Mytilus edulis: one gene and its partner. Each later gene encodes a partner of the first gene's protein in a complex. Links are inferred from orthologs where the notes say so. Each region holds a gene or a part of one and is shown on either strand. Other genes may lie near its edges. The genes, in order: signal peptidase complex subunit 2-like and signal peptidase complex subunit 1-like.

The links.
Region 2: signal peptidase complex subunit 2-like (region 1) and signal peptidase complex subunit 1-like share a complex: the UniProt entries of both Caenorhabditis elegans proteins name them as parts of the signal peptidase complex. The link is inferred for Mytilus edulis from reciprocal best matches to the Caenorhabditis elegans genes spcs-2 and spcs-1.

What each region holds. Positions count from the first base shown.
Region 1 is NC_092346.1:86,978,061-86,986,274, reverse strand, and holds the start of signal peptidase complex subunit 2-like, read right to left. Parts: upstream 3,253-8,214; 5' UTR 3,205-3,252; coding exon 3,172-3,204; exon of another isoform or gene 3,155-3,171; coding exon of another isoform or gene 3,140-3,154; intron 1-3,139. Other genes in the region: intraflagellar transport protein 81 homolog, read left to right, coding at 6,547-6,690, 7,175-7,266. UniProt on the Caenorhabditis elegans protein: Component of the signal peptidase complex (SPC) which catalyzes the cleavage of N-terminal signal sequences from nascent proteins as they are translocated into the lumen of the endoplasmic reticulum.
Region 2 is NC_092356.1:70,170,681-70,178,186, forward strand, and holds the start of signal peptidase complex subunit 1-like, read left to right. Parts: upstream 1-4,379; 5' UTR 4,380-4,485; coding exon 4,486-4,539; intron 4,540-7,506. UniProt on the Caenorhabditis elegans protein: Component of the signal peptidase complex (SPC) which catalyzes the cleavage of N-terminal signal sequences from nascent proteins as they are translocated into the lumen of the endoplasmic reticulum. Dispensable for SPC enzymatic activity.

The DNA of each region.
Region 1 (8,214 bases):
AACTAACCTGTTCTGATTCGTTCTACAATTACAAAAGTTCAAATGAATAAATAACATTCCTTAAAAGCCATATTATCAAACCATATATATATCTTTATTAGGATGGAGTTTTTTTTCTTGGTATAAAATGAGATGAGGGGTTTACACTGGCTGAGACAGCATTGAACCCTATCATAAAATGCTAATATACTCTTGGTTAATATACTGTTTCAACATACAGCAGTTGCACATATCCATACAAATATGGTAAGCACTTAATTTGTTCCAGGTCTAAAAATGTAGTAACTATTAAATGTCAGCACAGTCATATACTAAAATATATTTTCTATCACTCAAGATTCATTGAAATAAAATTTAAACAAAATTTGTTCACCTGTAATCCCTGTATTTTCAATTAAAAAATACTGAACCACATATTTTTTTGATGTGGCCTTAAGGTCCAACCGTTAATTATATGGGGACGAAGTCCACAATTATGGTAGAAAAGTCAATAAAAAAAAAATTTAAAAAAATCGGGGAAAATTTCCAGAATTTTTCATTCTACTTATGAACTCAAATCGTTAACTTTCTTTTTCAGATCTACTTCCTGTTCCGGTTTTCCCTGCATTTGCGCAAAAAAATCTACTTTCCTTTCCGGTCTTGTTTGAATAAGACTTGGAATAAAATATATATTTATCAGTCTAGTAAAACATAAGATTGGAACTCAATACAAATTCATTATTAATAATTGTTTGATATGAAAAAAATGTTACCTGTTGAAAGCGTTTCTTTTGTTTACATTTAATATGATGTCATAACTTAAAGAATGTTACAGCTAAATCCCTTACAACAGAACCAAACTCGGAACGTACGGTGTTTCCGTTTCTTTTATTAACATGTTTGAATTTAAATAAAAATAAAAATACAGACTTCGTCCCCATTCACAGGTTATGCCTGCCTCATATTATAAAATAAAGCTATAACAGCTGTACATGTATACCAGAAGAAGAAGAAGACTCAAATTATAAGGAGCATGATGTATTCTTCGCAATGGCAAAAAATCATTCATTATATATAGGAAAAAAGGTTACAGCACATAGTTAATGCATCAAAAACAGAACGGTGTAACTTTTAACAGAAGTGCAACCTCCTGATTCATGTAACATACATTGTAAGCTGAAAAGTAAAATCAATCATGCAAACTCCACCTGTTAAAATTACCCTCAGGAACTGATCAGCTAGAACCTTATTTGGGCTGATTCAGTGGGGACAGAAATGTTCATCCCACTTTATAATAAGAAACTTATGAAAATTGAATTGAACTGTACCCTTGGAAGGGCTGTGAAACTGTATCTCAACTTTTTGTTACATTTTTTGGATAATTTGCAGACCGATTTGACTACATGTAGATGATGATGAAACAATGTGATGATTTTACCAGAATTCCAGTTCCACAGCTACATGTTCCAATAACACCATTTTTTTCATCGTTTAATATTGTCAAAAGGACAAAAAAAACAACCTTTCATCGATCCCTAGATCAGCCCTGACTGGAAATTGTTATTTGTTTATCTGATCAGTTTTAAATGAGATTTGAAAGATTCTCATCACTACAGTAGACTAGCTCTATTGGCTGTTGAACAACTTGATCATAGACAGCAATCATACCAGTGTTCTCCCCAGGATTTTTTTAAGGCGCAAAATTCAAGGGCGCGTAACTCCTTTTTTGTAGTGAACTTTTGTGATCTGAATCAATCAGTCATAAATCATAACATGCAATATTGCTTTGTGTTGTGTGTTTAATAATGCAGAGAATAAATGAATTTATACAAGAAATGAATAATATACTATATTTATGAAATAAATTGATTTTAAACACAAAAGTTATTTATATTCAGTCAATTAAAGAAGTCAAAATATAAATATTCATCTCTGTACTCTCTGCTACTTCTAGGGATATTGTTTCAAGATAGTGTTATTTTGTTTATTTGTTGATTGTCACATAATATGTTCCAGACGCACGGACTCACGATCGATGTTCAATGATCATTTTATTTCTAAAAATATGACAGTTTGAAACGAATTTACCTTGCAAGCAACATTTTTCACTTTCAATTAAAATAAATTACTTCTCGTTATCTTTAATTAAAGTTTATTTTAATTTTTTCAACAACAAATACTCTCGTTCATAATTTTCATCGTAAATATCTTTAGCAATGTGTATTCAAATCTATAACGTGTATTGAACACGTTCATTGGTCGTGTTTCAATAGATTCTTCTTCTCGACCAATGCAAAAAATTCGTTATATAAATGGTCAAGTAAACACACACACGATGCTTAAATACAATGTATTTGCGATCTATTTCTTCAATTTCTGCACTGAAGATTTTAATTTTTTTAATTTTCTTCTGAAAATATCTATCTTCTTGATGATCATTTACGCTATTACATGATAAGTTAACATAGTCCAATACGGCTGAGATAAGTGTGGCTCAGGTAAAACTATATTATCAGATATTGCGTAACACTGACCGACCTCTCTTCTTCTTCCAGCGGTGATCAGCAACTTGACAATTTTAACCAACATTTATAATGAAAATGTGAAAATTAACACGCTGCGGGATCAAGTAGTAAAAGCGGCCAATTAAGACGCTGCTGGATTAACAAAAATATTATGAAGGCGCTGCGGCACCGCACCGTCATATCGGCCTGGGGAGAACACTGATACCACCACATCATTTATATATATTTAGCTTTAATACACCTTATCGCTAATCCCGGCTGACCAGGCCGCTTGAACCTTTGACGTCAACAACAATCACTTTTCCATTGTGGCGTCAGATATTTTGTTTTATGACGTCAAAATTTTACGGGAACCTGTGTGATTTCTAGCAATGGCGGACAAATAGCGATAAGGTGTATTTTGCACAGGCACTTGTTTCTATCCATACGAAGGTCGACTATCCATATAAATAGATGTATATGTATAGTCGACCTTCGTATGGATAGAAACAAGTGCCTGTGGTATTTTGCTATAAAGGCAATATTTTCCGCATATGGAAAGTGATTTCCCGAATTTCAACGCAATACCATTGTTCAAACAGGCATGCAACTTGAAAAACAGATTTTGAAAATGTTTTGTGTGTTGTTTAAATTACAAAATTTCTCATCATTGCTAAAGAAAAATTACTTTGTCCATCAAGCCGGTCTTTTTTGAAGCCATCTCAAAAATGAAACAGGAAGTACACGTATAGAAGGAGACTAATCGAAAACCAAATAGTGTATACTTAATATTAAATAATATACTATCAACTCTATTTTGGTGGTCATATTTATAATAATAATTAGACTCTCATGTTAATTAACTAAGAATATTTGGAGACAAAGTAATATGTAATTTATAAAAAATAGTTAGAGATTATTAAAAAGGTAACCGGAAGTTGTGGTAAATTCCATAGAGAAATTTATTTTGGAGAACAGATTAGAAGATAGGTATGGTTTTTTGAAAGTTTCATCTTTATGGGAAAAGAAAATGTGATAGACGTAACGTAAAGGCATAAAGTAAAGATAATTCTGCTAAGTTTGAAATTTGTTTTAGGTATTCTTATATGAAACAAGCGTTCTGTCTTCTGAATATACCAATTTACAGGCAATAATGCTCTTGTTGATTCATGAGTGGATTTATTGATACAATAAACTTTGGTTTTATAACTATTCCCCAAACGGTTGCACTATTTTCCAAAGAATTTCAATTATTTCAGATTATTGAATCAAAATCTGTGTTGATGATCAGATCATATATACATTGATCAGCTTCTGTTAAGCCTCGGTCACACCTTATGGGATAGCAGGAACGGAACCAAACAGATGAAAATGAAAGTTTTCAGTTGAAAAAATTATTATCCGTTGGGAGTCTGTTGATGTACTGACAAAATAAAACGGACGTATCGAATGCATTATGGACACACACAGATATTCAATGTACGAGAAACGGAAATGTACCGGACAGAACGGATGTCAAATGTACATCCAACGGACGAGTACCACATAAAAATGACACCTTAGGGAAGCGTACCGGATAAAACGGATGAACAAGATATACAGAAAAATTAAAAGCGACAATAATAAAACATGTAAATCATAATATGAGGCAGGCATTACCTGTAAATGGGGACGAAGTCTGTATGAATTATTTTTTTGTAACTTACATTTATATATTTGTTAAGAAAAAGAAACGGAAATACCGTAACGTTTCCGATTTTGGTTCTTTTGTTAGGGATTTTAGTTGTGACGTTATTTAAGTTATGACGTCATATGCAATGTAAACAAAGAAACGCTATCATCAGGTAACGTTTTTTCATATCAAGGAATTATTAAAAATGAAATTGGTATTGCGCATTCCTTCCTATTTTATACTAGACTGATAAATATATATTTTACTCAAAGTTTCATACAAACGAGACCGGAAAAAGGAAGTACATTGTACATTTCTGCGCAGGTCCGGGATTTCAAAACATGACATAAAAAAAATTGAACGATTTTGAGTTCATTAGTACAATGAAAAATTCGGGAAATTTTCCCGATTTTTTTTTTATTGAATTTTCTACTGTTATTGGGGACTTCGTCCCCATATAAATATTCAAAATTGATCTGTGTATATAAAAAAGAAGATGTGGTATGATTGCCAATGAGACAACTATCCACAAGAGACCAAAATGACACAGACTTTAACAACTATAGGTCACCGTATGGCCTTCAACAACTGTGTAACTGGTTTTGGTTTTTTCTTCAAAAAAGTGTTTGGCCTGAATAAGAGCTGCTTGAATGTGAAGACGTGCTTTTACTCTTATTGCCCTCTAAGATCTATTATGAATAATAAGAATTCATGAACCTTAAGAAATCTATTTGGCATTTCTGACGCAGCATTTTCAATTGGCATTTATCCGTTTCGGATCCGTTCAGTATCCGTTGTACGTCCATTCAAAGTTGTGAACATACTCAAAATTTTCCACCAGACAGAACGGAGTTGACGGATAAAACGTACGCTAAACGGAAATGCAACTGATATGGACGGACGTCTAACGAATAAGAACAGACATGAACGATTTGAAAAAAAGTTATCTGTTAAGGTGTGACTGAGGCTTAAGAGAAAAGCCAAAGAATCTGGGTCTGTTTGGGCCCATTCACTTTCGCACCCTACACATTCCTGCCCAAATTTTTTATTGGTTTTGTGTTTAGTGACTTTGTTATCAAGTTTTGGCAAGTGTATTCCTATTAGTTAATTTGTTGTCATTGTCTCAAAGTAAAGTAAACCAACGTTTTTTTTGTGTTGAATAAATCTTAATCAAGTTTTGGATAGTGTATTGTAAAAAAAAATTAATCAGTTTCTAAATAAAGTGAGATTCTGTCAACAATTTTTTGTTGTTGTGTTGAATAAATCTTAATCATGTTTTGGTAAGTGTATTGCTACATGTATAACATTTTTTAATTATTTCAAAATAAAGTGAGATTCTGCGTTTTTTTTTATGTTTGTTGAATACATTTTAATCATGTTTTGATTTGTGTATTGCTATAATTTTTTTGTTTCATTGTTTCAGATCAAAGGAGCCAAACTGTTAAAAACAATTATCTTTTGTGTTTTTCATTTAAAATTAAAAAAAATTTACTCAGACCAAGCTTTATGCAGTATTTTACATGAAAGTAATTTAAAACAACAATTATGATTTTCTAATTATTCAACAAGAATTTGCTTTAAGATTGGGAGCGAACGAATAAATGAACCTTGGGTGCGAAAGTGTATTGGGCACGAACAGACCTAATACCAAAGAAAAAGGAATCCATCTTATTGCTATTTGAAAATCTGTCCCGCTTTACTCAAAAATCTGTTCGCTTGAATTTTTGACGTCATACAACAATAACTTTTCTTTTGGGGCGTCAAATATTTTCTATTATGATTATGACTTAAAAAAAAATCAGCATTTTTTGTGATGTCCATGGCCAATAATGCCTATGGGCAGACAAATAGCAATAAGGTGTATTGTCTTTTTTACCACCATTACTGGCCATGGACATCTAAAATAATACCATAATATTTTGACATCACAATACATGTATCAGATTATATCTGATGCCACAATGGAAAAGTGATTGTCGTTATACAGACTTTTCAAGCTTTTATTCTACATTCCTTCACATTTTTGAGATGATTTTTTATTATGTTAGTTTACACTAATGGGTTACAGATCAAGTTTAAGTTTGATTCCGCATAGCTGATTTTTGCTGAAATTACTGCATGTTTTACAGGTTAATTTGTGAAAATTATCAACTTTTTGTTAACAAATTTCCACACCTAAAAATGGCTTCACAAATGTAACAACATGCAATGTAACACCTTATAAGTAATCAACATGTAAATGTACATAGACATAAAAGTTGAAAAGAAACAGCATGGAAATCCTAATAATATCAGTACTAGGCATACATAAAGTAACATATGCATAGACATTGTAAACAGTATGTGTAAAGTTGTCTTTTTTTTCATTTCAGGGAAACTATTTGTTCAGTCATGAGTGAACAATTGAAGTTCATCACTCAGGAACTGAAAAAAGAACCATTCAGTAAGACCTACAACTTGATATCGTTTGATTCTCTTGAACCACTTCAGCTGTTACAAGTTCTCAATGATATCATTGCTGTCATTGATCCAAAGGTAATGAAATAATAACTGAATATAAATGGAAAACAAACCTTAACTTATAAATATAAATCAATTACAAACGAAAGTGAACCAACGCCTGGTGAGTCTGTAGTACGGTAGAGTCCATAAAGTGGATACCCGAGGGTATGCAGGGTCGTTATAAATATAAAATCCACTGCTCCTTTACATGAATTTTTCATACAATGTGCATGTAGTACAGTTAAAAAAAACAGTTTTTCCCTTGTGTAAATTGACTTTTTCACAAACTAAGGCATGGAGATATTTGGTTTAAAAGTTTTCCTCTTTCCAACAAATATAAAAATCAGTTTGCAGTATTGTTGTCATGTCTATTATAACCCTTCTTCTCTATTTTATCATGTTTATATAATTTCCAATGCAATAAATGAACACATCCAAATAAAAACTTAAATAGTTTTATAATATTTATTTTGATTTAACCAAAGTTAACAGTAATTCAAATTTTTTTTTTTTTTAGCAAAAGCTAGATATAAGAGAAGAAAGTCCAGATCAAACAGCAATACGAATTTTCACTACTCTTCGTGTGCTGAAGTACAAGCCTCCGAATGAGTAAGTAGAATGAAAGTTTGGAATCTGAGAGATCCACTCAGAGAAAGTATTAATACAAAGAAAAGACATTTTTGTAAAACAAGTCAGTTATATTTTATTTCTATTTACATTGTCTTTTAATTGTTTCTTATGTTGGGTTACTGTCTCATTGACATATACCCACACCTTCCTTTATTCATAAAACCATAAATGTTAATTGCATTCTTTAAAGCTGAAATTAAACCACATTGATTGAGGGGAATGTAGCATTAAAATCAAAGTATGTGCAGAAATCACATTTAGTACTAGACATTATTTACTTTATTTTATGTCTTGAGCAGTTGATTAAGGCCCCCCCATTAAGCATTTAGCTTTAAAGTGAAACAGATGTTGATATATGAATATAAATAATTAATATATTATTATTTTTTTTATAATAGTGATGTGTAAGTATTTTTTGTTAATTTTTGCTGTGATGTAGAAATCTGCTAGTTGTTTTATCTAACTAATAAATCAATGCATGTAGTGTTTTCCCAGTTACAAGAACTTCATAAGTTACTGTCTTAAAGAACCCAAGTAGTTTCATTATAAAAATAATATCAAAAGGTTTTTAACATTTTAGAAAAAAATAAAAATTTACAAAAACATATTATGGAGGTGATAAGGAAGCTCTTGATCCTACTATTTACTAAGATTACCACTTTTAAATGAAAATTTTTTTTTCAATTACTTCACTTGTTGTTACAATTTTTTGACATAACAGAAAGACCACTTTTGAGTAAGTAGAATACATCTATGAAGTATTTTTCTTTGCATTAACTGACTTGATATTTTGTTTTGTAGTTTATTTTGAAATATATGAATGAAATAACTTGCTATTTGATTGACATCTTTTTCTGACAGTTTATAAATTGTAACACACGAATGGGAAAACACTATTGTAAGTTACTGGATTATCTTTGCTCTGTG
Region 2 (7,506 bases), on another chromosome or scaffold:
TAGAAGTACTGACGAACAGGGAAGATTATATTTCTCCAATAACTGTTGCACATAAGTGAACCAGCTTTTTGAGATTCTGTCCTTGATAGCTAACTGTCTCTGTGCTAGTTTAAACTCCACTGTATTTGGATTTCTTATAATATTTCCGAATAAAGTTAATGTTCTTTTATCAATTTCTGCTTCTATTGGCATCTGGCCAGACAAAAGATAAGTTGCTGAGTCAGCTGTTCTTTCTGGTAGATGCTGAATACGTTTTAATAGTTGTTTGAAATAAGATGACAGAGCTTTTATATCACTAATCATTAATCTAACTACTTCAAGTCCATGTATAAGTCTTGGAATTATAAATATACGGATGATATGGATGGATACAGTGGGGTTTAAACCGTTCAGACCGTGGAGGCCAGCTCCCATTAGCGCATATGTTGCCTTTCTAGCAGCACTGATCCTTGCGTTGCTAACATTCTTTGTGCCAAACTTTGATGAATTATCTCTTTCTATACCCAGATGCACAGCAGATTGTGATGTTGGAATCTCTTCTGAGTTCATGGTGAATTTCCTAGGTTGTTTGTCATTAAATTGAACCACAGATGATTTTTGTTTGCATAATCCCCTTGTATGTCAAGCATTGCTTGCAGATCCTCCGGGTTGTTTGACACCAGACACACATCATCTGCTACTGTTGGTGTGCCACAATAAATTGGTCCAACATAACTTCCTAGATTCTGAGTCTCTATATGGTCCAACATTGGGTTAATAAAAAGTTTATATGCTGCAGGGGAGGTAACACCACCTTGACGTACCCCTTGATGCTCAGAGAATACCTTTGATAGTTCACCTTCCCATTTGATTTGAGATGTTAAATCTTTATACCATTCTTTGAACATCAGCCATGAGTCACTTTCAATACCACTTTGATGTAGCTTTCGTAGTAATGAGCTGTGCCAAACTAAGTCGAAAGCCTTCTGGGCGTCAAGAAAGGCAACATATAATGGCCTGTGCATGTCCTGCGCCTCCGCAATTAGTTCATTAAGTATCAGAGCTGCGTTTAGTCCAGATATACCCTTAGTGAAATCCCGTTGTAGTGGGCTCTGTGCATTTTTGAGTGTTTCATCTTTCTTTTCTAAATATAATGTTTCTAGTATTTTGTTTAGAATACTGGTTACAGTTATTTTCCTATAAGAGTTGGGGTCATCTAGTGGTTTCCCTTTTCGCTTAAAAACTGGCGTTGCTATACCAAGTTTGAGTAGATCTGGAATTGAGCATACATGAAATATCATATTGATTAGTTTTGTTACTGCTGAAATTACTATTTGGCCTCCGTTCTTTAAATGTTCACTTGTCAAGTTTGCACAATCGGCTGCTTTACCGCTCTTTAAAGTGTTAATCACCTTTTCAACCTGCTCTTCAGTTACAGAAATTTTTTCACTATTTTCGAGATTTGAAATATATGTATCTTCAAACAAGAGACAGTCTAACTCTACTTGGTTGTTATATAGAGCATCTTCGTAGTTAGAGCTTGAAGGTGTTGCTAGTTCCTCAAAGTACTCAGCCCACCCTTTCCTTATTGAGTCAGGGTTGTCATAGATACCATTCCGTTAAATTTCAGTTGTGTTGTTTTTTCCATACCAGTTCTTCGTTGATCATTTACTAACTTAAAGAATAGTTTTTGGTCACCTTCCCTAGCTGTCATTATATTTTCAAACTTTTGTTTTCTGGCTACCGCTTCTAGTTGCCTCTGAGTTGACCTAAGTTTGCGTTTTCCATTCTTCATGTTTCTAAAATGAATGTTCTCCTGGTCTCTTGGACGACCAGCCATCTTCCACTTCCAAAAATGGTGTTTATTTTCACAACATGCCTTTTTGATTTCATCAGGCCAGTATCTCTTTCGAGGGCGAGATTTTTGCTTATTTGGTTTTGCACATTCCTTAGCTGTAACTTTGACAAGAGCCATGACAGGATCGTGTTGTGAAGTGTTCATATAGTCTCTTTCCAGGTTCACAAACTGATTAATGATATGGTGGTTACTTTGTAATATATAGTCAATTCTTGACGAGCATTTCCCACTATGGTGAAAATAAGTGTCACATTCATTACTTTCTGGTATATGAAGTTCAAATTCATGGATAAAATCTAAAAACAACTTGTCTCTCCGACTCAAATTTTCCTTCATTATTGAGGCATTTACATCACCAGCTATTATTATATCACAGGTAGGCTTGAATTTATATATTATTTCCCCTATTTCCTCTAAAACAGCTTTGAACTCATCATCTGCATTTTTCGAACCGCTACACGGCATATACTACACCAATAATTACTCAAATTCTATGGTATTGAAAATAACACACTAAATTGGATTCAGGCATTTTTACAGGACAGAACACAAACGGTAGTCATTAATGGCATTTCCTCCACCTCAGTACCCGTAACATCTGGTGTACCACAAGGAACAGTATTGGGCCCAATACTGTTTCTTATCTATATAAATGACTTACCGGAATATCTAGAACACAGTAAACTTAGACTCTTTGCTGATGACAGCATAATTTACAGGGAAATAAAAACACAAGATGATTGTCATAAGCTACAACTCGACCTTGACTCAGCAGCTCGATGGGAGTCAGATTGGCTTATGGCATTTCACCCTGATAAATGTACAAACCTTTCCATCTCTCAAAAGAAAAATAACTACCGGCATAATTACATCCTCCACAATCACATTCTCGAATCAGTTACATCAGCAAAATATTTAGGCATTACATTACAATCAAATCTAAAGTGGAACAAACACATAGACAACATAGTATCAAATGGGAACAGATCACTTGGTTTTCTAAAAAGAAATTTAAAAATTACAAACACAGAAACAAAATCAAGAGCATACCAGGCACTAGTAAGACCCAAACTGGAATATAGTTGTAGTGTCTGGGACCCCCATATGAAAGAACAACAGATACAATTAGAAAAGGTACAGAGGCGTGCTGCTCGTTATGTACACAACAACTACGATTACACGAGCAGTGTCACAAACATGCTAAATCAGTTGAAATGGCCACCACTAGCTGAGAGACGCTTAAAAACCAGACTTATTTTATTTTATAAAGTAATACATTGTCTTGTTGCCATTCCATCGCATATTCTTGAACAAACAGACAGCAGAACAAGATAAAATCATACTCAGACATACAGACACATCCAAACTTCCAAGGACACATACAAATGGTCATACTTCCCGAGAACAATTATTCAATGGAATTTATTACCACAAACTGTAATTGAAACCACCACTGTTGACAGCTTTAGATATCAGCTAACACCAGCTGTTCTCTCTAGCTTCAAATAAACAATTTCAAACAAAACATGTACATATATTTTTAATCACAATCTGTAAATACAAACACTCCAACTGTTATAAAATATTTTTATAAATTTTGTATAAATTTTTGTCAATCACGCATGCGCAACAACATGTATTCTTCAGTATTGAAGCCTTGTTGACCTTATAGAAGAAGAAGAAGGTTTAGTCCTACAGTTTAGTTTAACTACTGTGACTCGACTGCTACCATCTTGTTGTTCCTCTATAGCATGAGCAATATTGTTCTTATAGCAAATAGCTGTACCCCCTTTCCCTCTAGGACGTTGCGATGGAGGCAGAGGATCTGCATCATCAACACACTTAGGTGGCAGGTACCAGTTTTGGTGTACCAGAACATGTGTCCCACGCAGAAATTTTGTTATAGTTCAGTATTGAGGTATATAATTGCATCATGTGGACTAAAAAAATAAATGAATGTAAATTCTAGGCTATTGTACTACACAAGTAAGTAGTTGCATACACAGGTTGGGGATTTCCTTCACATATAGGTCCAATCAGATGTCAAAATTGTGGTCTCCTCACTTGACGGCATCCAATCAAAGTGGGGGAAAAATTCAGTTTTATGTAAACAAAAATATCTTGAGATTTTGATGGTAAGGATAGGTTCGGACAAGGCTCTAATTCACTGAATATCCTTTCTCTCTTGAATTTTGGCTAAAATTCTTGTCGGCTTTTAGCAGGATTTTGCAGGTGAGGATTAGATTGGTATCAGAGCATCACATTTTTTGCCTTATTTGCAATGCATTTATAAATTTTTAAATTTCCATGCTGGACAGACACCCAAATTTAAAGGTTTTCTATATATTAACATAAGCACGCACACATCTTAGTTCCTTGAAACCATACATTTTATTTGTATATAAGTTTGAATGAATTTTCAAGAAAATAAAATCATAAATCCATGAAATTCTAAAGATTTATTGTAAAATAACTGGTTTCTGCCACCTTAACGAAACAGCTGTAGATTACGGAAATCGAGTTCTGTTTCCTAACTTGGACCAAAGTTTTCGTATTAGGAACGATAACTCCGTAATTATTTTTGACACGACAACTTCCTGTAGGAAAGTAAATCTAAAATCAGACTTTTTCACGATACAGCCAACACAATGGATCTCGAGAGATTTCTCCCAGAAGCATTTAAGAAAGTCCCTCTGCATATGGTAATTAAAATTATTTAAAATGCTATAGTATGGATGCCGGAAATCTTTTTTATCTGCTGGCAGTGCTGCAGTCTTGAAGTTTGAACAGCTGTTTGCCCTTTACCGACTTCTTCTTCTTCTTCTTTAGGTTTCTAGCGATCCTTCAATTATTGAAGATTATTCGCCGGGCGTCGACTATAAAATTTATAATTTACACTAATTTAGCAACAAAAAATCAAAAATAACAAAATCAAAAAATCAACATAACGTATGTACATTTGAAAAAATAAATTTTGATAAAACTATATACATTTGATAACAGAATAGTTAGGGATAGAATATGGGGATGAGAGCAGATTCTGAGATCATACTCTTGAATCCCTCTACTGTACTGCATGATACTATTTGTTGTGGCAGATGATTCCAATTTATAACTGTTCGAGGATAAAATGAATATTTATAACTGTCTTTAGATGTTTGTATTTGCCTAAATGAGTGTGGATTGCTATGTCTGGTTCTATTGTCAAGTGGGATCAAAAGATTATGTGTAGGAACTGCAACAATTTCATGAATAATTTTGTAAAAGAAAACAAGTCTGTATCGTAAGCGCCTAATTTCGAGTAGGTACCAATTTAGGTCTGTCATCATTTCAGTAACTGAGCTGTTGTTATGGAAGCGGTTGCATGAGAAGCGTGCTGCTCTTCTCTGAACCTTTTCAATTTGTAGAGTTTGTTGTTTTTGATGTGGGTCCCAAATTGTTGAGCAGTACTCTAATTTTGGTCGGACAAGAGCTTTATATGCATGAGCTTTAACTTTCGGTGATGCTATTTTTAGGTTTCTACGAATAAATCCAAGGGACTGGTTTGCTTTTGATGTCATGTTATCTATATGTTTGTCCCATTTTAAATTTGATTGAAGAGTTAGGCCTAAATATTTTGTAGAGTCAACTTTTTCTAAAGAGTGATTGTGTAATTTATAGGTAAAGTCTAAAGGTTTGCGTTTTTGGGTTACACTGAGAATGTTGCACTTATCAGGGTGAAAATGCATGAGCCAGTCCTGCTCCCACCTGCCGGCCGCTTCTAAGTCAGACTGTAATTTAAATGTGTCATCTGTTTTTTTAATTTCCCTATAAATAATGCTGTCATCTGCAAACAATCTTAATGTACTGTGTTCAATATATTCTGCCAAATCATTAATGAAGATTAAAAATAAAATTGGACTTTTTGAAAATGATATATGCTTTTTATTGTCTTAAGATATTAATAAACAACCTTTGTTTTGTTCTATGCACTCATATAAAAACTTTCAAAATTGTAAAATTTGAGGCATTTATAACAAACATATTTTACCACCATGAGTATCGTTTAGTCATCTGTTCTCGATAGTAATCAGTTCTCCTTAGCAATGCTTGTGGTTAAAATAAAAGTAGTTCAAGAAATTGTACATGTTTTCTATTTGTTGGTATTTCAAGGACAGAATAAAACTTGCTTCAAGCATGCATTTATTTCAACATTTCAAGTCTTTAGTGAGTGTCAACTTGACACTATAATCTCTCTGTATTTAGATCACACTGGTAGTTTTATGTCGCTATTGTATAAAACTCATTAATATGTTTGTATTTATGATGTGGCACTGCAGAGAAAATTAATTAGATAAATAAATAAATAATTAAATAAAATAAAAATATATAAATTAATATGAGGCAGGCATTACCTGTGAATGGGGACGAAGTTTGTTTAAATTATTTTTTTTGTATTGTAAATATTTGTTAAAAAAAAGATACGGAAATACCGTAACGTTTCCGATTTTGGTTCTGTTGTTAGGGATTTTACTTGTGACGTTATTTAAGTTATGACGTCCTGTTCAATTTAAACAAAGAAACGCAATGCATCAGGTAGGCCTAACGTTTATTCATACCAAAGACAAAGAATGATTAGAAATGAAATATTGGTATTGTGTTCCTTGAGTTCCTATATTTTACTAGACTAATCAAAGTCTCACGACAACAAGACCGGAAGAAGGAAGTAGAGTTATGTGTTCTGCGCAGATCCGGAAATTAAAAAACACGACAAAAAAAAATTGAACGATTTTGAGTTTCATTAGTACAATGAAAAATTCGGGAAATTTCCCGATTTTTTTTTTTTTTATTGAATTTTCTACTGTAATAGGGGAGTTCGTCCCCATAATAAATATTTAACCCTTATAAAACCTTAACTATCTATTTTGTGAACCTTCCAGTATCTTTAATAAAGACCCCTAACAAATTTTGAATATCTTCTATATGATGTTTGTAATTTTCATTTTCTGTTGTTGCTAATAATACTTCTGATTCAAGTGTTAGTTTTGATGTTATGAAGTAGAGTGCAGAGCAGAGTTTCTCTCTAGCCTCCTATTAATTTTCACAATACAGTAAATAATGGTCAACTGTTTCTTTTTGTCCACAGCTGCATTTGTCGTTGAGTGCTGGGCATATCATTGATTTGTACGAGTTTAATTTACAATATCCTGTTCTTGAACTTGTTGATATCCGATACATTTCAGTTGAAGATTGTCTTTTGGAAGTGTATTTTTTACATTTTGATGAAAGAAATAATATCTTCTTCCATTATCACTGTTGTCCGATCGGTTTTGCCATTTTACCATTACACTGTCTTGTTTCTTTTTGTATATCTTGTTGTTTGTAAATATTGGAATGCTTTCTATTTTTTCTGCCTCCTGTGATACTTTTTTAGCTAGTTGGTCTGCTAGTTCATTACCTTGTTTTTCAGCGTGTCCAGGGGTCCATTCAATGGAAGTAATGATTTCTTTAGATTTTAGTACCAAAATACCAATTTTAATATCATCATGATCATGAATAGTTTTGCCGTAATTAACTGATTTCCAATTTAAAGTTCGAATTCCAATTGCTGATGGGCTGTCTGAAAAAATTTTGATGGATTCTGTTGTTTGGAATAATAAGAAAATCTGTTACCAGCTTGATAGCTACTA